Linked DNA regions of Arabidopsis thaliana. The protein of the gene in region 1 interacts with the protein of each later gene in a pairwise test. Each region holds a gene or a part of one and is shown on either strand. Other genes may lie near its edges. The genes, in order: MYB6, AT1G01240, AT5G18550 and AT1G35490.

Evidence for each region.
Region 2: the proteins of MYB6 (region 1) and AT1G01240 interact in a two-hybrid assay, tested with the Arabidopsis thaliana proteins (one large-scale study listed by BioGRID).
Region 3: the proteins of MYB6 (region 1) and AT5G18550 interact in a two-hybrid assay, tested with the Arabidopsis thaliana proteins (one large-scale study listed by BioGRID).
Region 4: the proteins of MYB6 (region 1) and AT1G35490 interact in a two-hybrid assay, tested with the Arabidopsis thaliana proteins (one large-scale study listed by BioGRID).

The regions. Positions count from the first base shown.
Region 1 is NC_003075.7:5,989,383-5,996,477, reverse strand, and holds MYB6 (myb domain protein 6), read right to left. Parts: upstream 3,571-7,095; 5' UTR 3,460-3,570; coding exon 3,197-3,459; intron 2,888-3,196; coding exon 2,440-2,887; 3' UTR 2,220-2,439; downstream 1-2,219.
Region 2 is NC_003070.9:97,170-104,720, forward strand, and holds AT1G01240 (uncharacterized protein), read left to right. Parts: upstream 1-2,696; 5' UTR 2,697-3,513; coding exon 3,514-4,509; 3' UTR 4,510-4,818; downstream 4,819-7,551. Other genes in the region: AT1G01225 (NC domain-containing protein-like protein), read left to right, coding at 1-73; AT1G01230 (ORMDL family protein), read left to right, coding at 451-636, 1,288-1,436, 1,739-1,877.
Region 3 is NC_003076.8:6,156,322-6,164,942, reverse strand, and holds AT5G18550 (Zinc finger C-x8-C-x5-C-x3-H type family protein), read right to left. Parts: upstream 4,847-8,621; 5' UTR 4,429-4,846; coding exon 4,338-4,428; exon of another isoform or gene 4,198-4,337; coding exon 4,043-4,197; intron 3,811-4,042; coding exon 3,745-3,810; intron 3,605-3,744; coding exon 3,479-3,604; intron 3,378-3,478; coding exon 3,072-3,377; intron 2,995-3,071; coding exon 2,701-2,994; intron 2,574-2,700; coding exon 2,214-2,573; 3' UTR 2,100-2,213; coding exon of another isoform or gene 2,092-2,099; 3' UTR 1,772-2,091; downstream 1-1,771. Other genes in the region: PUCHI (Integrase-type DNA-binding superfamily protein), read left to right, coding at 1-84.
Region 4 is NC_003070.9:13,057,852-13,065,519, reverse strand, and holds AT1G35490 (bZIP family transcription factor), read right to left. Parts: upstream 3,972-7,668; 5' UTR 3,768-3,971; intron 3,675-3,767; 5' UTR 3,665-3,674; coding exon 3,135-3,664; intron 2,921-3,134; coding exon 2,845-2,920; intron 2,741-2,844; coding exon 2,614-2,740; intron 2,524-2,613; coding exon 2,354-2,523; 3' UTR 2,065-2,353; downstream 1-2,064.

The DNA.
Region 1 (7,095 bases):
AAATTATATGTCGGTAAAAATAGAAATATATTTTTATAATCAGAAATGATATGTCTATAATGTATTAGTAGAAAAAACATTATTTAATCATATTAGGACAAGTTAAATAAATCTTTAAAATTGGAAATGACATATTTGTAAAACATTTTAGTAACTAGATAGTAGAAACTTTAAGATTTAAAAATATTTAAGAAATAGAAATATATATTTGTATATCCATTATCTATTAATGAGTAAGTGTTAGAAAAGCCCTCACTCTCAAAAATACCCCACTTTTGGCCATTTTTATTTTTGCTCTCTTTCAATTGTTAATTAATATTTTACCCCTATTTGAAAAATATTGAAATCAAAAATGAAAAAGTGTATTTTTTTATCAAAAATGTTCCGCAAAGTTTTTCCTTTTTGCAAGAGAAGTGATCTTGTATTTTTTGACGGGACACTTGATTCTGAAAAGTTTTGCGGGAAATAGATTTACAAGAGGGGTTTAAAGGATTTTAAAAAAGTTTACAAGTGTTTTAAAGGGATTTATAAAGTTTTTAAGGAGGATTTCATGATCGATTAGTTAAAGTGACGACTTTAGGATATCTTTTTAAAAGAATTTACTGTTCTATACTGTATTTTATTTCATGTGTGTAGTTTGTCATACACTATTTGCTGATTTCTCAAGAAGTAGGGCTCGTCAAAAGCTTAAAAAAAACCTTTATTTCTCCAACCCTAGATTTAGACAGACTCGACCCAATAATCTACAAAAGTGGAGTAATGATGTATCTTTCAATCTAACCGTACCTAATCGATCGATGCCTGCAATTGTTGAGTAACAGATTAGGTTAGTTCTTAGACTATAGACTATTGAAATTGTAAGTCTTTGGTTCAATTTTGTTCCGTGGAATAAGAATTATGTTTAGTAAATGATCTATAATTTTAGAGTCCTGGAATGAAGATTTTAATGAATCTCTTGCAAATTCATGTAAATATATAGTCCTATATACTTCAATAGTTTATCAAATATGGTTAGTTTTGCAAATGATCCTAAAATTAATTAGACTTAGCTATTGATAGTTTACAAAATTATGAAGACTATAGTCTATGTTTATGTAGAAGATGTAAAAAGGTATATCAATTCATATAAAATAATAACTTAAACTCGTTAGAGAATTTTCTTAATTTTATTAATATTAAAAATGAGAGTGATAACTTCTTTTTTAATTTCCAGGAAAAGAGGAAGTCATGTTTGGCTGGATCTCACCTAAATCTCACATTCCCATTCCTTCTTCCTCCTCTTACGCACATGATTCTCTCTTTTGTTTTACATTTATATTATTGTTTCTTTAATTGTTTAGATATATTTATGCGTATGAATATGATAATATCTCTACGAAACCAATTCTTGTTTTCTTTTTTTTTCTTGTTCTGACGTCGACCAAAGATTTGTCTAAAGACAAAACATTTTGCTTTGCCTTAAGATCATATTGATAAATGTTTTTATCGAGACTTGGCTATGTCAAATTTGTTTCGGATAATCTATAAGGTTATAGTATTGATATATAAAATATTTATCTTATTAAAGATTAGGTAAAGTCAATTATTTTTTGGTACACAATATGGTTTTAATGATAGATTCTGCCACCTACCTGCCTAAAACATGTCACATGTCTCCTCCCTTATCTTATTCTCTTATTCTATATTTCTTTATTTAGTAATCAATTTGTATCTCTTCCAATCAGCTGCTTCTTCACATTCCTTTTCAATGTTTACGTCTATAGTAGTTCTTTTAATTAATTTCGTTGGCACCAAATTACGCTACAACTATAAGTATTAATAGAAGTTCTCAATTCTAGTTTTTTCCTAAACAATAAAAAGTTCTACAAACTAGAAGTTTGTTTGTTGAGATGAGGACCATGTGTCCTAGCACTATATATAAACTAACACCGAAAACCTAATGAAAAAAAATAGTTAACATAGTGAACGAGATATTTGTTGAAACTTGCTAGTTGCAACTATATGGTCCCCATTATAACCTAATTCAAGTTTCTAGAAGCTTTTGCTTCAAAAAACATATAAAAACTATGATCTATACCAACATGTAAAAATGGATAACGGTTGATCCATAAGAAAGAGTCCAAAAGGGACCAACCATGTTCACATTTCACTCCTACATTTATACTTCTACATTTTATAACAATATTGTCAAAATAAAATTCAAATTACTCATTTGCATTCCTAGACAATGGTGTAATATTCTTATATATTTCCATAAAATTATTTTGGAAACCATGTATCGTTTTTTTTCTTTTTCTTCAAAAGGTAATATGAACAAAAACTAAAACAAAAATACCAAAGAAACTGAAGTAAAGAATTTCTATATTTATCCAAAAGGACTCAAGCAAAAAAAAAAATGAAGTAACAAAACCCATTTTTTGGGATTTTTTTGACAAATTATTACAACAGTGACAAACGCGCCTCCATCACCGGGTCGCACCACGGTTTAGAATCAGCCGATGACCCGACTCCGACTATCCGACCCGACCAGGATCCAAACCCAAGAGTTAAATCCAAATTCAGCTTTATATGTCCTGAATTATCACTATAATAACACTCCCCATTCTGCCGGAGATCCTCGTCCGTCGTCGTGCCGCTAGTCGAAGCTCCGTTATCGGAGGAATTTTCCGTCTTCGGTTTAACGGCTAAATTGGAAAAAGAATACTCAACGGCATCGTTTTGAATAGGAACAACAACTTGAGACGACACCGTTTTGGATTCGTTAATCTGACGATGAGTTTGTGGATCAATACCGTGACTAAGAAGCTTCCTCTTAATATGAGTGTTCCAATAATTCTTTATTTCGTTATCTGTTCTTCCTGGTAATCTTCCAGCTATCAATGACCATCTGCAAAACAAAACATTTCAAATTCATATGAATAACAATAACAGAGGAAAGCTTTAACAAAAACAGAGGAAACAAAAAAGTGAACGACTCTGTTTCCTAGAAAGTTGAAACTTTTTTCCTGGGAAAGATCAAAGAAGAAGAAAGAGCAGGAAAACAAAGTGACCCAGTTTCTATTTTCTCTCTGTTTCCTAGAAAGTTGAAATCTTTTTCCTAGAAACAAGAGTAGGGAGAAAAAAAAAAGTGACTCTGTTTTTCTATTTTCACTCTGTTTTTTTAGAAGAAGAGAAAGAGAGGAAAAAGTTATCGTACTTGTTACCGAGTAAGCTATGGAGTTTGATGATGATTTGATCTTCATCATCAGTAAAATTACCACGTTTAAGATCAGGACGAAGGTAATTAATCCATCTCAATCTACAACTTTTACCACAACGCAACAATCCAGCGGATTTAGGAAGAGAACGCCAACAACCTTCACCGTGATTACGGATATAATCTACGAGACGTTGATCTTCTTCTTTAGTCCAAGCTCCTTTGTTTGTGTGAGCTTTTTCACAACAAGGAGATCTTCCCATGGTGAATGAAGAAGATGGTGTAAGAGAAGAGAGAAGAGATCAATTTGTGGGTTATATAAAAAGGAGGAGACTTTGACTAAGTTTGGTATATGTACATGTGACTATGTGGAGATAAAGTGAGGCTGTGCTTTGCTGTGTTGTGTGTGGGGTAATGGAGATTAGGTAGGTAAGTAAGTAACCTTCTTTTCTCTTTTTTTCTTGTCTCTTTACTTTTTCTCCTTAGATTTTGGTTTTTGTTTTTTTCTTTCTCTCACTGTTCTTATAATTTAGTTGGTAGTTAAGAAAAATACAATGCAAAAATAATATTTATCAAACATGTTATCTTTTGGAAAAAAATGTCATTAAAATTCTCAACTTATTGAAAACTTTGATTTAAATCTTGAACTCTCGGCGAACGAAACAAATATCAAACTTATGTTACTTTCCAAATAAATACCAAACCTTCTTGACTTTTCAAATAAATATCAAACTTTTGTTGACATGACTATATTAGGCATGATGTTCAGTAGGTTAATAGACCTTGAACGTTTAGTGTGTTAACATACTCGTTGATTGAAAACGACAACGTTTACTCTAACAATAAAACGTCATCGTTTTTGTCATAACGGCTCAATTAAATCTCCAGTTTCAAATCATATGGGGATTTAGAGATAGGAATTTTGCTTGATTTAGAGATCTTAGATTGAATTTGGGAATTTAGTTCAGTCATTATTACAAAACGACGTCACTCTGTTGTTGGAAACAATAACGTTTTGCATTAATGGGCCTCTGTTAACAAAAAAATTAACTCCGTTAACGGGATCTAGTAATTTACTTAACAGTGTGTCTAATATCGCCAGGTCAACAAAAATTAGATATTTATTTAGAAAGTCAAATATTTATTTTGTTTCGTCGAGAGTTGAGGATTTAAATCAATGTTTGCAATGAGTTGAAGATTTTAATGACATTTTTCCCATTAATTAAATTTAAAATTAACAAAAGAACGACGTCGTATGAAGGAGTTCTGAATTGTTTTAGTTAAATACAGTTTTTTAGTTGTTCCTGAAGAGAAAAATAAAACTGTGATTATTTCTTGACAAAAAATGTTTTTATTTTGCTTATCTTTCAATGGAGTTTTACATCTTTCTTTTATAGACTTCTTTAGAACAATCTAGAATCCTTGACAATGCTATCTTTAATCAATAGCTATTTATTGTGAATTACTGCAACGGCAGCGACTGCAACGGCTTGAATTTGTTTTCAAGTGTTATTGTCTTCTTCTCCGTATTAGTGACAGTCTTCTGTTTTGCAGGTAAAGAGCTTTTGGTCTTTATCTTCTTTTGCATATGTTGACTGGGCTTCTGTAGTGGGCTTTGTTGAGTTTGGGCTACCATGTCTTTGTTTTTGTCAAAGCCCGTTCTATTTATTGGGTTGTCTTCTACACCCTCCTTCAAACTTGGCGTGGGTGAGACCGGTGACGCAGACACGCCGAGTTTGGCTCTAAGCGTGATAAAGGGCCGTCGCGGTAGTGACTTGGTGAAGACATCAGCAAGTTGAATAGTTGCTGGGATGTGTTGCGTTTCTATGAGACCGAGAGCCACACGTTCCCTGATGTAGTGAAAGTCTTTATCGAAGTGTTTAGATCGTTTATGAAGAGCAGGATTTGCAGAGAGGTAGACAGCAGATAGGTTATCACAGAACACTCGTGTAGGTTGATGTTGAGAGATTCCAAGATCTCGGAGAAGAGAGGAAATCCAAGTGATTTCTCGAGCTGTATCGGAAAGAGCTCTATATTCGGCTTCTGTTGAGGAGTGAGAGATAGTGGGTTGTCTCTTTGCAGACCAAGATATCAGAGTAGATCCCAAGAGGATGCAGAAACCAGTAGTGGAGCGTCTAGTGTCCTTGCAGCCAGCGTAATCACTATCGCAAAATCCCGAAAGAACAGGGTTGTGGTGTTTTCTGATTGGAAGCCCCATGTTGATAGTTCCTTTCACATACCTGAGTATGCGTTTGAGAAGGCCAAAATCAGAGTTGGTCGGAGCGTGCATTCTTTGGCAGATGAAGTTCACGGCATATTGAATATCCGGTCTTGTGATTGTTAAGTATTGTAACTTGCCAGCTAAACTCCGAAAGTATGTTGGCTCTTCAAAGGGTTCTGAATTGAGGTCTTCCAAGTGTTGTGGCAGAGGGGTAGGCATAGGGTTGCATTCTGTCATGCCTGCTTGATGAAGAATGTCGGAAGCGTATGCGTGTTGATGTAAAAATAGACCATTGTTGTAAGATTCAATTTCTATACCCAAAAAATAGCGAGGAGGCCCAAGATCTTTCATCGAAAAGCGGTTGTTGAGAGCTTGAAGAAGTTTATCCATGAGCAGTTGATCACTTCCTGTGAGGAGTATATCGTCGACATATAAGAGGAGTATGAGACTTTGCCCATTTTGATGACAAACGAAGAGGGAAGGATCAGATGTGCTGCACTCAAAGCCAAAGTCAAGAAGAAAGTTGCTAAAGGTGTCAAACCAGGCTCTAGGCGCTTGTTTTAGACCATAAAGAGCTTTGGTGAGCCGACAAACGTGATTAGGCTTGTTAGGATCAACAAAACCAGAGGGTTGGAACATAAACACCGGTTCTTGTAATTCTCCATGGAGAAACGCGTTGGACACATCAAGCTGTTTGAGAGGCCACTCATTTGCAGTAGCGGTATCGAGAACAAGACGTATAGTTGCAGTTCGAACAACCGGACTGAATGTCTCAAGATAGTCGACTCCTTCTTCTTGATCAAACCCTTTGGCAACTAGACGAGCTTTCAACTTATCTATGGTGCCATCAGGTTTGAGTTTAGTCTTGAAAACCCATTTGGATGTCAGAATATTCATGTCCTCTGTTGCAGGAACTAGAGACCAAGTGTTTAGCATGTGAATGCGATCTATCTCATCCATAACTGCAGCGTTCCAGCTAGGATGCTTCATAGCAGTAGTAATAGTTTTTGGTTCATCAAAAGAGGATTTAGAGACAATGAGAGCATACCGGGGGTTTGGCTTCTGAATTCCATCTTTTGATCTTGTAATCATGGGATGGAGATTTTCTAATGAGCCTTGTCCTAGTGCATTGTCTTCATTTTGATCATTTAGTACGGGAGCTACTTCGTGGTCAAATTCATCATTTGATTCAGTTTCCTCATCAGAGCTAGTTTCCATATTAACATTGACGGCTTCCTCTGTCTCATAATTCATCATTGGCTGATTCTCACTTGTTGCCATAGGAGTCATTTGTCTTGCAAGAGGTTGTAATTGAGAAGAAGGCACTGAAGGTGGTGTGAGATCAGTATGTTGCCAAGCCTGTAGTAAGGTCGTCTGGTATTTTGGAACCAGACTGTGGTACTTTTCTTTAAATGGGAATTGAGCTTCATCAAAAATGACATGTCTAGAGATGTAGACTTTACCGGTAGGAGGATACAAACAGCGGTATCCCTTGTATTGGTTGTGATAGCCAAGAAACACGCATTGCAACGAGCGTGGATCAAACTTGTTCTTTGCTAACGGTCTCAAGCAGGGGTAGCAGGCTGTACCAAACACTCGGAGAGGTGTATAATCAACTTTTTGTTGAAACAAAGTTTCATAGGGACTTATTTCCTTGAGGACAGAAGAAGGCAAGAGA
Region 2 (7,551 bases), on another chromosome or scaffold:
AAAGACCATTGAGCAAGGTGAAGAAGAAGAAGAAGACGAAGAAGAAGATTCTGATACCGACTATGTTAGGTGACAAACAGATACCTATCACCTTTGTTCACGAATTTCGATATACATAAGAAAACATTTCAGTTAGAATCCTCATGTTGGTTTTATGTTCCCTTTATTGCATTTGTTGGCCTATTTTCTGTCTGTACAAAATGAAAACGCAGACGTTTTGGTTTGGGTAATGTCAAAAATATCCCAATAATTAATTAATGCCCAGTGTAGATGCAAAAAAGCAGTCGTCGTCTTTCACGGGCACACAAAATTAAACCAAAGAAACAAACAATCCTTGTTCTCGCCGAAATAGAGAATTTTGTGAATCTGGGTTTTTAGTTCAGGTGTTAATATAAGATTTTGATCAAAAGAAGACGAGATTCGATCCGATCCGATCTGATTGAAGAAGAAATGGCGAATCTGTATGTGAAAGCGGTTCCACCACCGGATATGAATAGGAATACGGAATGGTTCATGTATCCAGGAGTTTGGACGACTTACATGCTTATTCTCTTCTTCGGTTGGCTCGTTGTTCTCTCTGTCTCTGGTTGTTCCCCTGGAATGGCTTGGACTGTTGTTAATCTCGCTCACTTCGTTGTAAGTCTTCGATTGTGTTTATGCTTTAGAGATGATTTTTTCACTTAGGGTTGTGACTTTAAATTAGATGATGGATTGATTCCTTGTTTTTTTTTTATTTCCTGAGATCTGGATGTGAATCTGGCTCTAGTGTTTGAATTGATCTCTTTGGTTATTAGCAATTTTTTAGTTGGTTTAGGGTTCGAATGAAGAGGCAATTACCTTCTGATTGATCAGTTTTAGCTATCGTATATCGTTGAGCTTGGATCAGGCTTCGAATTAGGATACAGTTACCTTCTTATCAATGAATTGATCAGTTTTGGTATCAGCGATTTTGAATTGATCTGTTTGGATACTATCAGCAGTGTTGACTGTTGAGTTGATCAGGCTTTTAAGTAAGATGCAATTCTCTTCTAAGTTTGAATTGATCGGTTTTGGATCAGGCTTCGAATTAAGATGCACCTTCTCGTTAATGAATTATCAGTTTTTGATATCAGAAACTAAAACTACCTATGGCATCAATGCAATTTCTTAAGGTCTAACTGTTTGATATAATGCGGTGACTTGTAAATTGGCATTGCTTGATTGTCAAAACCAAATTTAATCTAATTTCTAATTACTCTTTAGGAAAATGTGATGTCTGAGTAGAAATTTGTGGATATTTGTTGTCAGGTAACGTATCACAGCTTCCACTGGATGAAAGGAACTCCTTTTGCAGATGACCAAGGAATCTACAATGGTTTAACTTGGTGGGAACAAATGGACAATGGTCAACAGCTTACCCGCAACCGCAAATTTCTTACCCTAGTTCCTGTTGTTCTGTAAGTCCCAGCACCTTGTTCCTCAAAATCTCACCACTCTTGTCTATTTCCAATCTATATTTTCTTAGCAAATTATTTTCTTTAGCTGCATATATCCTTGTGTCTCATATGGTTAATAAATATGCTAATTTCTCAATACACATATCTAAATCCGGTGATGTGTAACGGACTAGTTCTAGAGAACTCTGTATACGCGATAATGTGTATAAACAAGAGCTGCATTTATCTGGATGAACTTTTAAGATTGAGCTCTTTAGCTTTTGTACTTGTTTTCTGACTTTATAACGACACATTTAAAACAGGTACTTGATTGCATCGCATACAACAGATTACAGACATCCATGGCTGTTCCTCAACACACTCGCTGTGATGGTTCTCGTTGTTGCCAAGTTCCCCAACATGCACAAGGTACGCATCTTTGGTATCAATGGTGATAAATAAGTTTCCTTTACGGCAAGAGAACACCTGAAAGAAGGAAAAGGGGATATAAGCGAACATATATATGTGTAAATGTTCATATGAGTTGGTTTAATTCTCGAGTCATGTTTTTTGTTGGATATTTGTAAGTAAACTCTCTAATTTTGAAGCTTTCATCTTTTACCTTTTATAATAGACACGAAAAAGCTTTCCCTTCATCTCCCCACTTCACTTCAGATAATGGGCCTAATAGCAATATGGGCTTGAACAATAATTGAATTTAACAATGGCCCAAAGATTCCTGTCGTGGTGACTCATGAGTTATCATAACACCAGAATGTTTTCGATTGAGCGTAATGATTCAGTGGGATCTAAAGAACACGTGGCTGCCTACAAGATCTCTAACAGCTGGTTAATGACACGTGTCATAGTTAAAGTCCACCTGGATGGATATTATATCATGGTGTACGTATACAAAATAGTTAATCCCTCTTCAAAATTGAATAAAGCTAACAAAAGTAATCAATTAACGTGATTAAAAAAAAAAAGAGAATGCTAATTGGACCCCGAAAACATGATATATCCTGCAAAATTAAAGCCGACAAAACGAAAGAATGACTAATTAAAGTTGGAATAAGACTAATGATTTTTTTTTTTTTTTTTCTTATTGTGGTCCAATGTAAGAAAATAAATAAAAACATCTTATCCATTAAATCGAAAGTAGGGTCCATATCGTAATAGCCGTCGATTCTCTCTTTAGCCAACACGTGTTGTCAATCCAGCTGTTTCAGATGCTTACCAAGCCAAACAAGTTATTGAAACTGTGTCGTTTTGTGTCCCTAACTCGGAAGCTTTTACGGAAGAAACTGTAAATTTGGTTCCATGGGGCCAGAGAGTGTGAGAAACGAAAATTAAAAAAAAAGAGAAGAAAAGCCAAAAGCTTCGGTCGCGCAAGATCGCTTCATTTGTTTCTAGAGTGATTCATGGATTCTTTAAACTACTAATAATGGTATCTTTAGTTGTTACTTCGTTTTCTGATCTATTTTACAAATCTTACTCTTTTGCTCTGTTTTCGTGGTTTTGTTTAGATAAAAGTCTCTGTTCTTCTAGTTTCTTCCATCAGACTGTTTTCTCATGGATCAGTGATGATTTTTGTTTCCTGGGTCAACTTCTGATTTTGGAATTTCTGAAAATTTTGGTAAATTTACTCGATCCCATTGCGAAATCTTACGCATGATCTTTGTAGTTTGCTCTGCTCAAGACTTTCTTTTTTTTTGGTTCTGCAGTATGTCTTAATTGCTCTGAAACTTATGTCTTGTTGTGTTTAATTTGGTGGTGAAATATATTGTCTTCTTTATTCCTGGATCTGTTAAGATTGTTTAAGATTTCATATACGTTGAATTGGTTTTGATTGAATATATTTTGGTTCCCAGACGTTGCGTGTATTATTTAATGTAAATTCCTTAAATCATTGGCTTATCTATGAATCAATCATTTGCTTAGAAGCAATCTCATGAGTAGCAAGAAAAACGAATTAATCCTTCCCATGTCTTTTATGTTTATATTACAGGATCTGGGTGAAAAAAGAACAGTCTTTTGATTTGGTGTGTTTCTCTTTTCTCTTAATTTTTTAGGATTTTTGTTGTGTCTTAATGAAATAATGGGAGCAGCTGAAGCAAGAGCATTGTGGCAAAGAACAGCTAGTCGTTGCTTTGTTGTTCATGAGGATGCTAAGATGGCTCCGAGGTTAGCTTGTTGCCAACACCAACAATCTTCTTCGGGCAACACCGAAAAAAACAGCTTTTCTTCCGGAAGTTTTGGAGATTCCTCTGATTTCTCTTGTGATACCAAATGGTGGCTTAAGGGATCAACTGGTTTTGATGAGGAGGTTACAAACTCCTTTCTTGAAGATACCAAATGCAAGAAATTGCATGAATTTGTCGACTTAATCGGAATACGAGAAGAAGAAGACTACAGCTTTATTAGCAAGAAAGCTGACGCTACAACACCGTGGTGGAGAAGCACGACGGATAAAGATGAATTAGCTCTCATGGTGGCGACTAAATCGGTTGATCATAATATCCAGAATTGTGATCTTCCTCCACCTCAAAAACTCCACAAGAGTATTCACTCCTCGAGTGGAGAAAAAGGGTTTAAAACAGCGGTTAAATCGCCATGGAAGCAAGGAGTTTGGAAGGATCGGTTTGAGAGATCTTTGAGTTACAATGGTAGCACAGAGAGCAAGAACACGAGTCCAATGTCTTCCCCTAGAAGTGATGATCTAAGCAAAGGTCAGCTTTTAGAAGCACTAAGGCATTCTCAAACCAGGGCAAGAGAAGCAGAGAGAGCAGCGAGAGAAGCTTGCGCTGAGAAAGACCGTGTGATAACAATCTTGTTGAAACAAGCGAGTCAGATGTTGGCTTATAAGCAATGGTTAAAGCTTCTTGAAATGGAAGCTCTTTATCTGCAGATGAAGAAGGAAGAAGAACAAGAGGAACAGGTCAAAGGAATGAATCTGAAGAAGAGAAAACAGAGAGGGGAGAAGAAGAAAAAGGGTGAGACTGGGAGATATATGATGGCTTTTGCATTAGGGTTTAGTCTCATTGGTGCTGGTTTGCTCTTAGGTTGGACTGTTGGATGGTTGCTTCCCTTCTAGAATCTTGAAATGTCTTCTCTTTGGTCACTCATCTTTTCAAGAGTTTTAGGTTTTATAACTTTTCACTTTACCTCTAAAATTGTGTGTATATTTTGTTAATGTATGTATTGTGTGATGTTTGTGTAAATTTAATCTTCTGTAGAAGTTTATTTGGTTAGGGTCTCTCTCTCTCTCTCTCTCTCTGCTACACAAAATTGAGAAGCATCAAACTTGGAAATTCATCAGAAGCTTGAGAATGTTGGAATCAAATAAATCTTATATTTGAGCTGAAAGTTTGCTACAAGTGGACCTCATTTGACCCAATTTTCTAATTAAGGCCCATATGTTTTTCAGACCCAAACTTTTTTATTTTATAATTTCTTTTTAGGGGTTCCAAAAAAATAATAGTATTTGCGTTTTGAACTTCTAAATTCTAAGCATGGTGGAATAAGATTTAATGATTATGGTCTTAGTTGCTTTAAAATTTATCACGGATGTTTAAAATTAAAAGTGTGATCACTTGAATAGTTTGTGTTTATGCATGCTTCTGTGAAATATATACAAAACTTTTTGACTAAATCCCAAAATTCAAATCTGTATAACGAATTCCTTTGATAAATGTGACTTTAAAAGATAATTCCAAAACATTGAAAACATATGTGTTTTAACTTCTTCTTTTTTTCTTTCAAATATCATACAATAGGCAAGTCTGGATGATGAGACGTCAATTACTAGCACCGACGACTAAAATACATGTTTTCATCATCAAATGTCTTTAAAATTCATATCTCTTTTGTTTGTTTGTTCATATCTAAGATAGCAATTAATATACCTCTATCTGTTGGGGTCAAATGTGATATTATATCTCCGTATTTATTATGAATAATGGTTGTAAGAAGCTTTATTGAATTTCCAGCAGAAAGATGTTTTGTTCATCATTGAGTACTACTACTATGGTTCAAAATGAAGCAAAAAATTTCCCGATTTATAATAAACCATAATTCGTTTTTCTTGGATGCTATGATCGATTCCAAACCACTAAATAGCACTAAATTGTTGTTGCAACAAATCCTTGTCTGAAATAATAAATTCGAGTATCGTTTTAGCCGTTATTTTTAAAACACGTGTTGTATTAAATATCTTATTATGTGGTGCCAAATTGTATAATGACGATACAAAGGACAAATGTTAATAATTTCAAATTTCCCACCCAGACAACTCTTGGTTCTATGCTTGTACCATCTCCGCGTCCTCGTCTTGTCGTGTGTCCTACACGAACATACTATTAGACTATTAGTGTTACAGTACTACAGCTTAATTAAAATATGCACATGTCAAAATATTTAAGGACTAACTGGTCAAATAGCCCCAAAACAATTCAAGATTGATTAACTAACATGTTCTCTAAAAGAATTGCTTCAGTAACCTATAATGTGGTATTGAATTCTCGAAAATGCATTTAAAACATCTTTATATGAGCTTACATATAATTGACTTAAATTGTTTGACGGAAATACCGAATTGTATGATGCTGTGAGAAAAACATGAAATACAAATATTCATGTATAGAGTCGAGTTTAGGATTTGATCAAGTGTCGAGCTTAATTAGGACTCGAACTGATAATACAAGAGGTACATATACGGATGCTTCTTTTTTGGACGAAACATATATATGGTTCAGTTCTTAAACACGTATATTCATACCAATCATATATATATTCTGGAAAATGAATTGAGTTCACAATTTCCATGTGTTTCCACGTGGTCAATTTAGGTCGAACTTCAAATGTTTTAGGAAACAACCGTTAAGAAAATCGCTCTACGGATGTATTCCTGTCAGTTAAAATTATCAAATTATGTGGCTTGTTTGCGACTTTGCGTTGTGTGTTTTTTGGCATTCAAGAAAAAGAATGCTGGATTATACTAAATAGGAACCAAAGTAGCATGTAGTGTCGTGATAAACGACGTGACAAATTTTCTCGCCCGCCCGTTTCCTCTTGGTACGAAAAGACTCCGAAGCCTTGGTGATTCGAACTGTCGAAGAGTTAGGTTAAGTCCAAAATGTCAAATGAAGCATGCAGCTTGAAGAGGGCACAATCGTCCTTTCCCCTGATATTTATCCCATATTTAATACATGACGCTAATGGTTAGCTTGAGTACTGAGTAACTTTAAGCGACATTTATAAGTATCAATGAAGCTCGAGTACTGATATTATTAACATCTTGGAATTAAATAGCTCACTATCAGGGGAAAACTGAAAAGCGAACAAAAATTATTGGAAGAAGAAATTATTGCCAACCGTACAGTTACAAGTATAAATGTCGATATATCGACACACCAAAAAAAAACTATTGCATTCACATTTAAAAAAAAAAAAAAAAAAAAAAGATGTATACTAGTATAATAGTATATCTGTCACAAACACATATCAGGAGAACATCTATCACGAACCCCATGACTCATTTAAGGAGTCTTTCTTTTTTTTGTTTTCTATGAAAAAACAAAACAAATTAATATGATAAATATCGATAGTAGTTTTAAAGTAATATTTCATATTGAATATGGATATGGGTCCGAGAAGTTACTATTGCATGAACAACGATAGAAATTGGACCAAACTAGGAATTATGCTAGGTATCGAATTATACTTTCCCTACATAAATAATAATCAGAAGTTAAAAGCTCCAAATGATTAAAAACCATTACTGTAGAGTCTGTACTTATAATCAGTACTCAGTAGCTACATAATGTTTTCAATAAATAAAGAAATTCCTTAAAGAGTTTTTGACACTTAGTTAGTAAAGTTGCACAAATAAAAAGGTTTAGAATAAGTAGCAATACTTATGCAAACAAAAACTGTATATAAGAACATACACTTATACGTATTTTTGTAGATGCGTACAAACCTGATAACTAACTTGAGAAACAGGTATCTAATTATTAATCGCGTAAAACAATAAACTAGAAACAAATAAATGAAAATATACATGCATATGCATTAAATTAAGTGAGCCAACACAATAACGATACAACGTACACGTATAACGAATACGACACAATCG
Region 3 (8,621 bases), on another chromosome or scaffold:
GAGCCGCAAGATTTATCTTCTTCTTCTATCGCTGCTTTTGGAGATGTCGTTGCAGACACTACAGGCTTCTACTCAGTCTTTTAGAACATTCTATATTATATATGTTTTTTATATATGCAATAATATTATTAGTATTTACGTTATTCGATGGTCGTTTGATTGTTGTTGTTAACTATATGTTATCGACTTTATTATATAAATCCTGCTTATTGTTTCATGCATCATAAGGTTACCTTACCTTGAAGTTTTGATTTGTTTTTTCTTTAATTTGTATTATGGTTTTGATTAGCAAAAAGGGATAATCCGAGTTGTATTAAAGACCACTTTTTGTCCATGCTACTTCGACACACTCATTATGTATATTTTATAAGTGTGCTATATTATAATAATAATGAAATCAAATGACTTGCTCCAAACGGATAAATGACTAGGATCGGAGTGAACAACTAATATATCACATGTAATATTAGGATTATAAGATCAGATGCAAATACCCCATTTTTCTATTTTTGATCAGTATGTGCTCAGATATTATGATTATTTTATGACAGTTATAAATTTTGACGTTAGTTTGAATTATAACATAATTGAGAGTCTAAGTTATAAAATTTAAAATTTAAAATTAGTGAATGTGAGATGGACTTTTAGTGAAGTAGCATGATGGTGTTTTTGGTCGTTAAACATGTGTTTTGGTCATGACTTGTTTGGTATTTCATTGCACAATCACTGTTTCATGTCTCCCTCCTTTTGCCTATATTTTGCCTTAACTTTTGTCTACAACAACTCAACATCACAACTCTTTATTTCATTTTTAAATCTGTTTAAGGTTTTTGACTTTCTTTCATAGAACTCAATTAGTGCCTTCTCCAATGTTGATCAACTATACACTTTTTTTGTTAACTCAACAAAGATCCAATCCTGTTATACTAGTCAAACATATATACGTTGGGAATTCATCATATATATATATGCTTCACAATTTGTCTAGCTTCAAATTAAATAACTTCCAAATAGTTACTGAAATTTGTATTGTTAATTATCTGTTTTGCATGCGTCAATATATATAACGATTTAGGCAAAATGTTCATTTTACTATAAGAAAAAAATAAATTAACTCGATAAAGACTGTAGAGTATGTGAAAAATATTTTAAAACAATCGATATTTTAATTTTAAAAAGAATTAAACAATCGATTAATATCTCCACAACTATGTGAAGTCTACTGTAACTCGTATATAAAGACATGTATATCTTTAATCTTTAAACAGTCTTAATTATGGTAGATCTAAGTAGTAACTCAGAGAAAAAGCATTTAATGATTAGGAGTAGTTTTTATTGGGTTGTTGAGAACTTTAGTTGTGATGTTTTCAGTGAACAAACTCATGATTATGGTTTTTCTGTTGTTTGAGTAAAACTAGACGCAACGAACAAACCACACACATGCACATGTTATATCACCAACACAAAGAACCAAGTACGAGAATTACTGACTACTACTTCCACATTAACAGTAGTTTTTTTTTTTTTTTAACTTCTTTTTCATTTATATTTACGTTTGTATCTCATGATCAACGTCGTACGGAATGGAATGTAGAACAAAAAAAGAAACGTGACCCTAAGATCTGTTCTGTTCTGCTTTCTGTTTCGTCAGGCTCTTCCACTTCTTGTTACTCTTCCAAACAAATCTTTAGAATCGGATTGCTTCAAACGAATATTGAGGTTGCGTTTACTGTATAACATGTTGTACTTTTCTATTAAAAAAAAGAAAATACTTTGACATGTATACATGAAAACATCCGCAAGCATAAGTCTATAAAAATTGGACTATTAATTAGTTAATTCCCATATTCCATAAAGTTTTAAAAATAAACAGGGGATTTTTGTGAATATATAAGGCCATTTATTAATCATCGTTTCCAAAAAGAAAAAGAAGAACAAAAGACAGAGAGATGGCCGTATGAAGGAATAATATGAACATGGTAAGAGAGACCTAAGAGGAGAGACATGACATAGAAGAGTAGAGAGAACTCCTTTCGTCTATCTCTCTGCTTTGCTTTCTGTTGTTGTCTCTCCACCCAAAAAATATCCTTTTTATGTTCCTGAGTTCATGAAAGTTTGATGAAAAGAAGAAGAGAGATATAGAGAGAATAAGAGAGATAATAATCTAAGAAGAATAGAGAGAGATTCTCTTCTCTCCTTTAAGATTTGTCTCTTTAACTTGAAGTCTTAGCCTCATTGCTAGCTGAATCACCTTTATTGGTCTCAGCAGGCTCGGGATGGCTCACATCACTGGTCATAGAAGAGACTCCAGCAGCCACAGTTTCTGAGCCACCAGTTGTTGTTGTTATAGGTTCAATAGAGCTGGAAGAGATAAGCTCAGTGCATTGGTCAGATGAGGATGATGGAGCTAATGTGCCGAGCGAGGAGGGGTAAGGTGCGACGGGCATGTCCGTGAGTGAAGAAGGGGATGGGCTGTAGCTTAGTGAAGAAGAGCCCAAGGAGTGGTCAAATTTGCAGGCAGGCCCAAACTTGCAAATACCGTGTTGCGCAAAGTGAGTGCATGGCACTGCGCCCTGCAAAACAGAGTTTCAGAATCACATCAAGAAACAGAGTTTTCCATTTTAACTTCTCATAAGTCATTACTAAAACTCTACTCTTGATCATGAGAATTTCATGATTAATGGCGTATATATGACTTACGGGACGAAGTGGGAGGCCAATGTGGCTGAGGGTACTTGCCTCTGGCGATGCTGCTTCCATAGGATGATGGAATCTGCAAGAGGTTCCGAATTTACAATCTCCGGTTCTCATAAAGTATTGACACTCAGGTTGTTCAGGTCGCTGAGGAAAAGTTTGTTCCTTATTTGAAACACCGGTAGAAGATGGACCGGATTGATAAGCAGGCGCTGAGGGAGATAACGGAGTGATTCCATAAACAGAGCTGGTTCCCATTGACGGTTGAGTCCCAGGGGAAGGCATCGCACTTACAGAAGCCTACATGATTGGAATGAGGTTTACTAAGACAAGAGAAAGAAAAGTTAGAACAAATAAAGGTTTCTTTGGAGCAATACCTGGTAAGGGTTCCAGCCCGAGTATGGAACCATACCAGGAGGAAGAACCATTTGACCGTAACCATAAGGGCTTTGAACATATGAGCCTGGTAAGAGCTGAGGTCTTGCTAGAACTACTCCGTATTGCTGCGATGAAGGAACGGTTTGAGACTGAAGCGATGGATACATAGTTGGACCAGCGGATAACTGTTGTTGCTGCTGCTGAGATGGAGCTTGTACACCAGGAGGGACTGGATGGTGATATCGACAGGTGGAACCGAATTTACACTGACCGGTTCTCATGAAATAGGAGCATTCTTTCTCCCCCTGTAACAATCCATTTGTAAGGAAACTTTGAGAGATCATTCACCACAATACAGCAAAACAAAAGACCTATGAAACCGAGAGCATGGCGGGATTGAACAAACCGGGCGTAATGGGAATCCCATGTAATTTAGGGAGACAGGAGTAACAGAATCTCCTCCTCCTCCTTGTCTAGGATGGTGATACTTACAAGAAGCACCAAATTTACATGTTCCTGTTCGCATGAAATGCTGTGACAAGAAAATATCAAAGTGAGAATAGACTACAACACTAAATCACAGAGTCTTAAATACAGAACAAAGAAGATGAATTGTCTTGTGCATTGCTTAACTTGGGAACCAATTTTGTTTAAATAGATGAATCAAAATACCTGACAAACAGGTTGTCCCATTCTCTCAGGGAACTCTCCAGCTTCTGTTCTGAGACCTCCCAAGACCTGAAAAAATCGAAACTAACAACATCCAATGAGAGAGCTTCCAAACAAATTAGAAATCCTAGATTCTGTTTCAGTGATATCAGATCGTAGATTCAACAATGGATCTGTTAATCTAAATCAGCCCATTAACAACATCAAAGACATATAGGAAGCAGACAAAAAAAGGCAGTCACTTTATCAAAAAAACAAACCCAGAAAAACAGAGGAGAGAGAGAGAGAGAGTTTTTATTACCGGAGCACGGTTTCGTGGGTGATTGAACCGACATCGAGACCCGTACCCGCAAACACCGGTTCGTAAATAATAGATACAATCGGGTTCATCGGGTCGCTCCGGGAACGTTTCACCTCCACCTCCACCACCTCGCAACCCTAACCGCCACATCGAAGCTACAAACGCCGCATTTATTTTTCAAAAAATCTAAACTTTCAATTCTGACAAAAACGCTAATCGCAGATTTAACCCCGTAAAAATCAGACATTAACAAAAAGAGAGAAAGAAAATGTAGGAAACCCATAATCAACGTTACCTTCGATACCAGTTTCGGTTCCTTGAGCGGACCATTCATGTGATGGATCCGACCGTGACTCATCTTCTCCGGCGCCACCGTACCGTTCCATTTTTGCTTTACACTAACTTTTAGCCGGAGCGGCGAAACAGAGCCCACCAATGTCGAAGCCCTCCGATCAAATGGGAGTGTCGGGAAGAAACTTTTTTTATTTCTGAGATTGGAGAAAAAAAAGGACAAAAAAAAAAAAACCACAGATCGTGGTTGGTTCTGTCTCCACACCACTCTCAGTCGCTTGATCTCTTTCCTTAAAGCTGAAACTTTTTTCTTTCTTCTACTATTTGTTTTCGGCTTCGATTTTTTTTTTTAGCGAAATTTCGAAAGGAAGTATTTTTATTTTTTTTGAGGGGATGGATTTTGGAAGAGGGATGGGGAAGTTTTGATCTTTCTTTATGCGTGCTCGCTTTTTTTGTGGGTGTTTTGCCGGTGGTGGTTAATATACGCGCCAAACATAGAATAAATGACTTCTCTCTTAATTTAATGCCTTTTTTTATTTCTTCCTTTTGCCATCAATATTGATTTTCTCTGTTTCAATATTTTTCTTAATCATATTTACAATAATCACTTCATTTGATGATTAATTTAAATAATGGTATTAATTTTTTGGGTATATTAATCTTTCTAGAATTCATTTAGTTTAAACATGTTTAACAAACAAATTATTTTAGAAGAATCACCGAAAATAATTACGTATTCTGGTGATACAAGTAATCTGTAAAGTTGTAACGGCTAGATTCCGTTTTTTCGTTTAACGGTTGATTCTTAAATTACATATGTCTTCAAACTGACGATCATATTCATCGATTCTTCGTCACTTTACATGATTAACAAGTAAATAAAATAGATGAAAACTTTATTTTGGTATATTAATCGTTTTAAACCTAACTTAGCTTAAACGTATTTAACAAATAAATTGTTCTAGAAGAGTTATTAGAAATAACAACGTATTTTGGTGGTACAAGTAATATGTAAAGTTGTAATGGCTATAATATTTTTTTTCGTTTAACGGTTGATTCTTGAATTACATATGTCTTCGAAATGACGATCTTATTCATTGCTTCGTCACTTTACATGATTAAGGTATCTATGTGTTGTTCCAAGTTTTTGATTAATTCAGATGTTTGATTGCACCGTTCAATTCTATTTTTCTATACGATATCATGATGTTACCAATTGGAAATAATGATCTACAATATTCTTATGGTTGTTCCTAGATTTAGTTGATGCACCATATTAGATAGCTTAACTTTTTGTACTGTTCATTTATATTGTACTACTAGGGCTTTATTTGAACCTCAACTATTCTTTTCGTTCTTGGGAGTTTATTGTAATTTCTTACCACAGTTATGACTTATTTATGTTACTCTGAAAAACCTACCAATCACCACACATCTTCACACACTACAAAAAAAAGATCATTTTAAATCACTTATATTGAATATTTGTATTACTTATAATTGATGTAAAGAAATTTTACATCACTTAAATAAACGATTCGTATCTTGTTGATGCAAATAATTTACATCGATTTATTAGCAACAAAAACATGCGATCAGAAAACAAAAAGAGATACCGGATATAAATTTTTGTCGCCTAAAAGAGAAAAGGAAAAAAATATTTTCTTTATTCTCTCACTTTTTAATCATTTTAAGTTCAAGATTTAGAGAAGAAAACGAAAGTAAAGTATTACTACCTTTTTACTGTAACACCAAATATATAAAACTCTAAAACCCTTATGGGAGCATTAAAATTTTCACTGCTCAAACTCACTAATACTCATTTTTGATTTTCCTTTTATGTAAGTGTTGCGTAAATTATAGTTAAGCCTTTGTATCATGACACGTCCGTGGAGAAAACTCGAATATGCTGGTGAAGGACATGATTGTCATTTGCAGCAAAACAGTAAGAAAATCTAAATCTCTGTGTTTTCTAAGAAGAAAAAAGGAATCAATCAATGATTCCATGGCGTGGGAAATATATTATGTTTCAATTTCTTACGAATGTAAAATTATAATAACATTTAGTGATGAAACTAAGCAGTTTTTTTGGTCAACAAAACACTAACGATCGAATGTTAAGATCTGTATTTTAAGAAAAAAAATAATGGTATTCTGAAGAGTTTTTACTCACAAAACATGATTGTTTAGATCGTTATTACTTATACTAATAGTTAAGAAAAAATAGTCAAAGTGAAAAAATAAAAAATAAGTTTAATAAGTCAAAGAAAACAAATTGTGTCGGCTCAAGTTGCAAATATAGGAATATGCCAATTTCTTTGTCAAAATTAATTCATGTGTTATTAATTGACGTTAACATTTTTAGTTTACTCAACCAACCATTCCATCTGCTAATTATATTTTAATCTAATCTGAAGAAAAGAAAAACTGCTTAGTCGCTACTACTTACACTGGTCGGAACATGATAGTTAGATATTTGTGCTAATGTTGACCTCGACTCATCTGAGTATATTTTTAGGATTGATATGTTATTATTTTCTACGCCTAAGCTTTTTGACTAGCATGTGTTTGTTGAGCCTGCCTATACGTAAATTAAAGAGAATATAATTTTAGTTCTTGACAATTTTGTTTATTTTAAACATGTGTACGTTTCAAACAAGACAGACAATACAATTTCTATACGAACAAAGGAAAAAACATTTCTACATGCATGCAAAAACTATTACAAGGTATATGTTTAGATAAAACAATAAAAATAAAGAGCAATAGTATGATGGTCTTAACCACATTGTTTGGTTTTGGCAGTCTAAGACAAACAGTAGAGTTTCAAAAATGAAAAATAAGAAAATTAATTCTGTTTTACTAACCATCATCTATGAAATATTTTATTGTTTGTCTTGATTTGGACTTAAGCTTAAATATACTTGTTTAGATAGCAAACAATCAAAATACAAAAGAACACAAGAAAGACTTGAAGGCAAATAAGAAATTTTTGATTTTGTTTTGCAACAAATAAAGAAGTTCCACGTGTTGAGAAAGAGTAGATGTAAATACGGAAAGTATTTTTCTTGCACGCTCACGCAAAGAGTGTGAATCGCACTCAACACCAAACGTTTAAGAGTCACTTCACACTAGAAATCATATTGTATACTATGGATTGTAAATTTAATGCTTTGGATGATTGATTACAAAGGTCATCATTAGTAGTGCATTAAGTTAGTTTTGTCAAACCGATTTAAGTTTATGGGAGTTTTTTCACACCACCCGTTATACTTGTATAGTTGGATTTTACATTTTTGGTATGTGGAGAAGTATATAGTTCACGAACAATGAATTTTGTAGGTCAAAAACATATAGTTTGGATTTTACATTTTATGGTTAATGATTGAAGCGCGTGAATTTAAGCCGCATGGAGGATTGTGTTGGGGCATAGTGAGAGTATTGACTTTTAGATCACTTAAAAAGGCGACACTGTAATTGATCAATCTAACGGCTATAAAACGCATTGGTCTGAATATCAGACGGCGGAGATTCTCTGTCTGCAAAAATGCTGGACAAACGAATAATATGTCTTCACATACTTGGCCTCAGTAGGTAAAGAAAATTCAACTCTAGATTAAAAAAAATAGTGCAAAAATAAAAATCGAATAATGAATGACAAAAGTTTCAAATCATTATATTAGTTCAAATTCATGGTGCATTTATAAACATGGTTTGATGCGAGGCTTGCAAATTATAAATATTATTATGATGCATTTTTACATATATGGAATGAATAAAAATAGAATCAGAAGGTTTGACTTGGAGAGGAGGTATTGGCCACATGTGAGCAGCTTTTGGAGATTTTGTGTTATTCACCCAAAGATCTTTTTAGACCATAACATTCGTATCCTTCTCATCTACCAAATGTCGGCGAGCTCATTTTTTGTTTTCGGACAGTGTCATTTTTTATTGTTTATTTTTATACTTCATTTCTTGTTTGTTTGTTAAAGTTCTGACCATGACATCTTTCATTTGCGCCATAATATATTTATATGCTCAAGTATAGAGTATCTTGAACTATATTCAAATCAAAAGAATCATGTTTAAGTCACTTGCAATTGTGATTTTGTATACTAAACAATGAGTTAGAACACATTTAAGATGTTTTACTGTTGTGATTTAAACAGTGAGCACCTTTTTATGACAACATACTTTTAAAAACGACGACAAAAAAGAGATTCGAAACTCATCATGTAGACAAGAAATAAACGAATCTACGAAAATCATAGAAAATTTAGTAATTTAC
Region 4 (7,668 bases), on another chromosome or scaffold:
CTCACCATTCGATTGTTTGTGGCAAGCTACTACCTTGTTCTTGTCTCCAATGTATGGACTTATCGTCGTATTACCCTATCTATGTTATTTATCAATCTCTTGTAAGAACTATCTTTGTTGTATCCAACCATGAAGTTGATGTCTTCTTAATCTTTGTATTTCTTATTGTTTGAATGAATGAAATTACCTTTGACAACATAAAAAAAGAACCTTATACTCACTTTATAATTACAACATATATGAAACATACATTAACCAAATTCATTCATTTTTTGAGATTATGAAAATCTACATATACATTTTTGCAGTCATCTTAACAAATAAATCCTGGACTTGAAACTTATTTACGACTCAATGCCACTGAATTTATGCTAACAGTTAAATCAAATATTTACCTAACAAAAATATTACCTAAAATCTCTCATATATTAACTCCACCAAACGAAATCATTCCTAAAATCTCTCATAAGTATTTATTAATTTTCGGTTTTAATTTGCTGTAAAAAAATCGATTTCAATAAAATGAATTAATCATCCTGATTTTTCATTTTAAATCATTTATTTTCAGTTTATAAAATGAATCAAATTTTATATTACAATATATGCTTTAATATATTTATTAAAAAATTAATTACGTAAAATTTTAAATATTTGAAACCCTAATTATTTTCCCAATCCACATTTTTCGTTTTAAGTTTGCAATTGTACAAAATAATTATCACTCCCTAAAACTTTATTTTTTGATTTTTATTAAATTTTGTTCTTTTTCTGACAAAAATAAATTGTACATCTATTAATCTAATATTGCTCATTCAAATAATATTAACAAAATGCTCAAATTTAGGCTATTAAAATAAAAAAAGTTAGTCAAAAGCACAAGTATATCAATCCCAAATTATGATTAAACTAAATATTTATTTATAATAATTTTTACCAAAACAATAACATTATATATATTAAAAAATTTGAAGTACCTTTTTAAAGTACTTTTGTGTTAGTAAAGTAACAATTTAGAAAGAATATCATCACATTAAAGACAAAGACAATTCTTATTTTTTAAATATTATTATTGATATATCTTAAATTTTTAAACATTATTAATATTTAAACTTAAAAAAAAATAAAACATCATGAGACGAGAAATATATTTTAACTTTATAAAATATTATTAATATTTAAACTTATAAAAAATTTAAAATATCATGAGATGAGAAATATAGCGGAATGAGTTTGAATTGATATGAAATATAGCGGGACGGGTTTGGATTCATATAACACAGATTAAATATTTATTTTATTATTTTATCATCACTAAATTTTTTAGTTACAACATTAATATAAAATTATATAACTTTAATACTAAATTAAAACCGTAAAATTTAATATTATTAAATATGAATAAAACATTTGCCCCGTGGTATACCACGGGTTAAATTCTAGTTAGAGTTATATATTCGGAGATTATTTAGATTTGAGAATTTTTCCTAATCTAATAGAAAAAATATATGAACAAATTGGTTAATTTTTGTAACTTAGGGTTAGAAACTAAACAAAATAACAAATGATACTGCAAATCAGTTATTGAAAGTCTAAATAATACGCAATACAATCTTTCTTAATCGTTGTCAAATTTGTAAAGTTTGTATATATAGTATCTCAACTTGAAGTTCTCCCGACGATGCTGAAAGACCATTTAAAAATAAATATATATATATATATATATAATGTATGTAGCCATAAAATCTTTTAAAAGATATGGATGAGAATTATATTTCATATCAGTTTTTTTACTTACTATGATTAATATGCATTTTTTGAGATGGAGGGTAAAATTAAAATACAATGGCGGCTTAAAGGATTTTTTTTTTTACTGTTGCATAAACCCAACAAATTACTATGTTTTCGTAAATTCATTTTTTAAATATTAATCTTAATTTTCATATTATCTTGACTGGTGTATAAAATAGTATACAGAATATTTATATATATATATATATATATATATATATTTTTTTTTTCCTTTTATTACTAGAATCGGTCACAACTTGTATATATATAGATAAAGGAAATTGTCAAAAAAATTACTTATTCATATATATAATAGATGAAATAAGAAGGATTACAAGTTATTACATAACATGAAGTTTCTTGACAAGAGATTCTCTACCATGCCATAAATAGAGAGAAATGCAATAGAGGAGGATATGGGCAACCACATTTTGATTTACATAACGATGCTTTTTTAGGTTTTCATTCAAGGCTACAAACATCAAGTTCACCTATGTTGTATGGACATTAAGGTAGAGCAAGAGGAGCTCAGCTTAATCTGAACAATGTATCCATATTTCCTAAATCATATTGCCAAGGCTGCAAATTGGGCATCGGGTTCTTGTGTAACAGGTGGTTGATATTTGTTGTATCGATTTTGTATTGCTTGGACTTGTTTTTGGTTTTGCTGTGGTTGTTGTTGGTGTCGTCGAAACTGTAGGTTTCCTATCTCTCTCTCAAGCAATTGCTGCTCCACTGTATTAACCAACCAAAATCAAAATTTTACAAGAGAACAAAATAAATGCATTTTGATCCATTTTAGTAGTGATATGAAAGGTTAAATACCATGTTTAAGCTTTTGGATTTCTGCTAAACTATCCATACGTTGTTTTAAAGCTCTATTTTCCATGCTAAGCATGAGTAACTGCTGATCCAAGTAGTGAATGGCAGATGACATTTCACATCCTTCAACCTATTGAAGAAAATCCAACATGTATAATATAACATTAGGAATCTTTTCATATTATTAATGAAATTAAAGAACTTCGAGAAATACACGAGCCTTTAGAATCTTACTTGTAGCACTTGGATGGTCCTTTCAAGGTCTGATATGTACTCAAGCCTTCTCAAACGCGCTCGATGAGCATTTTGACTGCATTTTAATAATTTTCGATAAAATTGTATATTATTAAACCGCATCAGAAATATGTTTATCAACCTATATTAGGAATGTGGTCTAACTTATCCCAACAGTTAGCTCAAGAGTTAAGGATTGCCAGATAATGCCTAAAGATCTTAATCTCAATCGATGTGGGACATTTTAATAACCTATTATAAGTACACATGACAAAGATAAGACTACTTACTGTTTGATACGTTTTGAGTCAGTCTTTGATCTAGGACCATCTGGTTTTGTAGAAGTTCCTTCTTTCATTTTGCTTACATGTTTCTCAATGGGTTTCGACGACATATTTAAAGCTCCGCATGACATATTTCTTTGGATATTAGTTCCATTTGCTGTAGAGAAATCCCATCCTAATTTATTGTGTTGTTCATAAGAGTTGGACTGCCACAAATCATAGTTCTGGAACTGCCAAGACGAACCAGCAACATGATTTTCCTTCGAAGGCATTAAAGCTGAGTTCAAGTAAGCAGCTGTGTCACTAGCTGAACGTCTATGACCTTTGTTAATCTTAGGTGATGCTGGCTCACTTAGGAGCTCATCGAGCCAAGCTGGTTGGTCTTCTGTGAAAAGATCATCTAAAGAAGCACTATGGTGGTGCATATTATTAGGAGGAGAAATGTTATTTTCCATGTTTTTTTGGGGAACTCGTGATTGTGATCTTCCAATGAATCCGAAATTTCCCGGGTTTGACAACCTCCTTAAATTTTCCATTCTTCAAAACCTATAAGGTATGAGCAAAACATGTATAAGAAAACCATTATCATGTAATGACAAGAATTGAAGATACAGTTTCTTTAACATGCAAAGAACATACCTAAGAAGACGTACGAGATTAGGAGACGTGTGATTGTTAGACCTTCCACGGGGAGGAAAATGGCATAAGCTCCTCCCGTGTGGTTGGTTTCGATCACCTCTTCTCCTTAGAATGCAAAAAAAAAAAAAAACAAGAAACAATCTCTAGATCACTAAATAGAGGAAGATACCATATTGAAACAATCCATGTTGATGATTTACATTGCGTGGTTTTCGTGAAAACAACAATTCTTGTCCTTATGCTTTATTTGGTCTATTATTTTCTCAGTTATTTTTGCTTTTTCACTTTCCCATAATAGACTCCACCATTGGTTTATTCAGACTGGGTTTATTGGTACACAATACTACAAAAGCTTCGAGGAATTCTTTCATTTTTTATTCATCGAATTTGTATAGTAAGCTCCGTAATATTTTTATGTGATTTATCTACACGCTTCTAATAGATGCAAAATCAAAATATTACTCTCACTATCATATGAGATTGACAATGTAATGACGTGGGACAATTTCTTTCTTTTTTTAGTTAATAATCTTTTCTATTTACATAATTATAAAATTCTAATGTTATTATGAACTTATAAAGTACTAGATATACAATATATATATATATATATATATATATATATATATTTAAGAGAACTATAAAAAAATAAGGAGAAACTTTGTTAAATATTAAGAAATTGATATGTTCAAATGTTTAATAATTTGCACTTTAAACTCTAAAGCTGAAATTTAGTACGAAATGTTATCAGCTTTAATTTGATAAATAATTATAAGTGATAGTTTGCACTTTGTAGATTCTATACCATCTCTATACTATTATTTGAGAAATGTTGTTAGCAAAATAACTAGATGTTACTAGATTTTAATCCGCGGTATACCGCGGGACGATTTATTTTTTAAAAGTAATATATATTAAAACTTGCAAATTTTATTTTATAAAATATTTATATTTTACAATTTATAATTGTTATTAACTAACGCTATACCACGAATCCATGAGACAATTGTTAAAAAACTGAAGTTTTAACCCCTATTAAAACAGCATATTAATAATATTTTAAAATTTTATAAATATTAATTCAAATACATCCGCCATATAACTCAATTCTAAAATAAAACCCGTTCTGTAATTTCTTTACCCGTCCTGTGATTTTTTTTTAAGTAGTAATTTTTAAAATTTAAGAATTATTTTTTATATAAAAGTTTTGCAAATTGTATCATTTTCTAATACATTTATATTTTATAGTTTAATTTTATATATAGTAACATTATACATACCACATAACATTTTTTGTTTTATATAATCTTTTCTAAATTAGGATGATTTGATATGTTTAATATTAGTGGTCTTAGAAAATAATAAATTAAAGATTTAACCCGTATTGAAACGGTGGATTAATTATATTTTATTTTTTTTATTAATGTTGATTCAAAAACCCGTCTCTCTAAATCTGTCTTGCCAAAAAGCCATTTATTTATTAATATTATTTTTATTAATGATATGACTCTGAATTATAATCTAAACATTTTAGTTAATAACATAGGAGTGCACCATATTTATTTAATAGGGGAATGTACCATATGAGCCGAACGCACTTTTATCCAAATCCACCAAAAAAGTCTTGCAAAAATACTATAGAGATAAGAAACGATTGTCGGTTTTGATAGGTATAAGATTAGCAAATATATTTGTTAGCTTAAATTAGTTAAAGAATACAAATTGAAAAGGTATATTACACTTTATTCGAATATAGTATCAAAACTTATATAACACAGAGATTTGTTATTTTTTAATTGTTGAATATTTTTTTTTGTGCTAATTTTTATGTGATTAAGATTTAATTGATTTCGTAAATAAAATATTAAATTGTTTACGAACTTATTTGTTTATAATTTGGTAATAGATAGATATTTGAATATTCAGTATATTTTGCTTCAGTTTAGGAAATCTTTGATGACCCATCTCTAGATCCAATAAGCCCTATAATCTAGATATTAACCTGCAGTATACCGCAAGTAGCCTTATATTTTAGTTAAACTAAAAACTTTTATTGTAAAGATGATTTAAAAATATATGATATTATTTTATTTGATTTTAAATGTATAGTAAACTGTGAGTTGTATATGTTTTGTTGATATTATCTATATTGTTTAGTGTTTAAGATTATACACTTGTAGTTTGATTGTTAATTTAAGAGTTTGACATGTAGTATACCATCTTGTATTAATATCGATCTAAACCCGTTAATTCTAGGATTTTCCAGCTTGTATTAAAAATTGAATCACATCTAATATGTTATTAATTATTGTAGTATATAAGATTATAAATTTTCAATATAATATGTATGAAATTGAATAGAAATAATTCAAATTATGACCAGTTACTCAGTAGAAAGTTTTCTTAAATCTATTTTTCATCCGTTATAATTTTTTTCATGTATTGAACAGTTTATATTCGTTTTTAAAAATTCAAATTATGACATATGCGAAAAAACTCAAATTATTTTTTTATAATGATGATATTATTTTTCGGCAAAAATAGAATCATATAAAGATGAGAAGTGAACTATAATAATTAATAAAAAATTAATATGATAATTTAGATATCAAATCTAATTTGTTGATTTTAATTGGTTACTTTTTTGGAAATTAATAATGCATTTCATTTTTCTAATTAAATTAAATTAATTAAAATTTAGATATCAAATCTTATATGTTGATTTTGATTGGTTATTATTTTTGGAAATTAATAATGTATTCCGTTTTTATGTTAAATTTAATTAATTAAATTAGTATTTGACTTTTTAATCCTTAAAGAGATAAATTAATTTATTCTTTAAAATTTTATTTCTAATGGCATACCTATGTAATTACTTACAAAAATTAAGGTTACATTTAAAATGTACTTTCCAAATAATATAGTAGGATGTGGGATATTACAAAATATGCTATTGGAAAATATTTCAGCTAACATTTTATTATTTTTATTTAAAATGACAAAAATCATATCTTTCATATATTCAAATTCATTATTTAATTTTTCAAAATATTGAAGCAAACGAAATGGGATAAGGCAACGATGCCAACAAACATCAATTACGTTTGTTTAACCATAATTGATATCCATAAATAGTTCTCAATCATTAATACAAAAAATCGTACTAATACCATAAGTAAACATAATATATCATGTCTTCTCTTAATTTTCCAAATTTGCTATTATTAATTTTTATGAGTTGATGAATTTCTCTGGGTATCAACATGTTTCACAGTGACAGTGAATCGTATCAAAGTTAATACATCCTCATTAACATTGAAACAGTGAAACTTTCACTCTTAATTCGTGGCACCACATCCTCATTTAGTTATCTATGCACATTTTAATATTATTTATATTTAAACAATAATTTATGTATATTTTTGGCAGAGATTTAAGTTTTATGTGAAAAAATAAATATTCAGCATCCATATATGATAAATTCAAAAATGCATTGTTGTTATATTAAAGAAACTATATAGTGAAATAAAATTATTATTTATTTTTAAGCTTATTATTTTAAATATTTTACACTATCTTCTAAAACAATATCAATTAAAATATAGAAAAATTCTTTCTAATGCTCTTTTCACACTACCTCTTTTTAATTCTACCCTTTTCTATTTATCATTTTCATTTATACCCTCTTCAAATTATTAATGACCATTTTACCCCTATTTGTAAATTGATTTATGTTAACAAAATGAAATATTAATATTTTTCGTCTAAAATATTCCAAAATAAAATTTCCCGCCAAAATTTTCCCGCCAAAAAATTTATCGCCAAAAATTTTCGAAAAAAAAAATTCCCGCCAAAATATTTTCAAAAACATTTTTCCCGCCAAAAAATTTCCTCCCAAAAC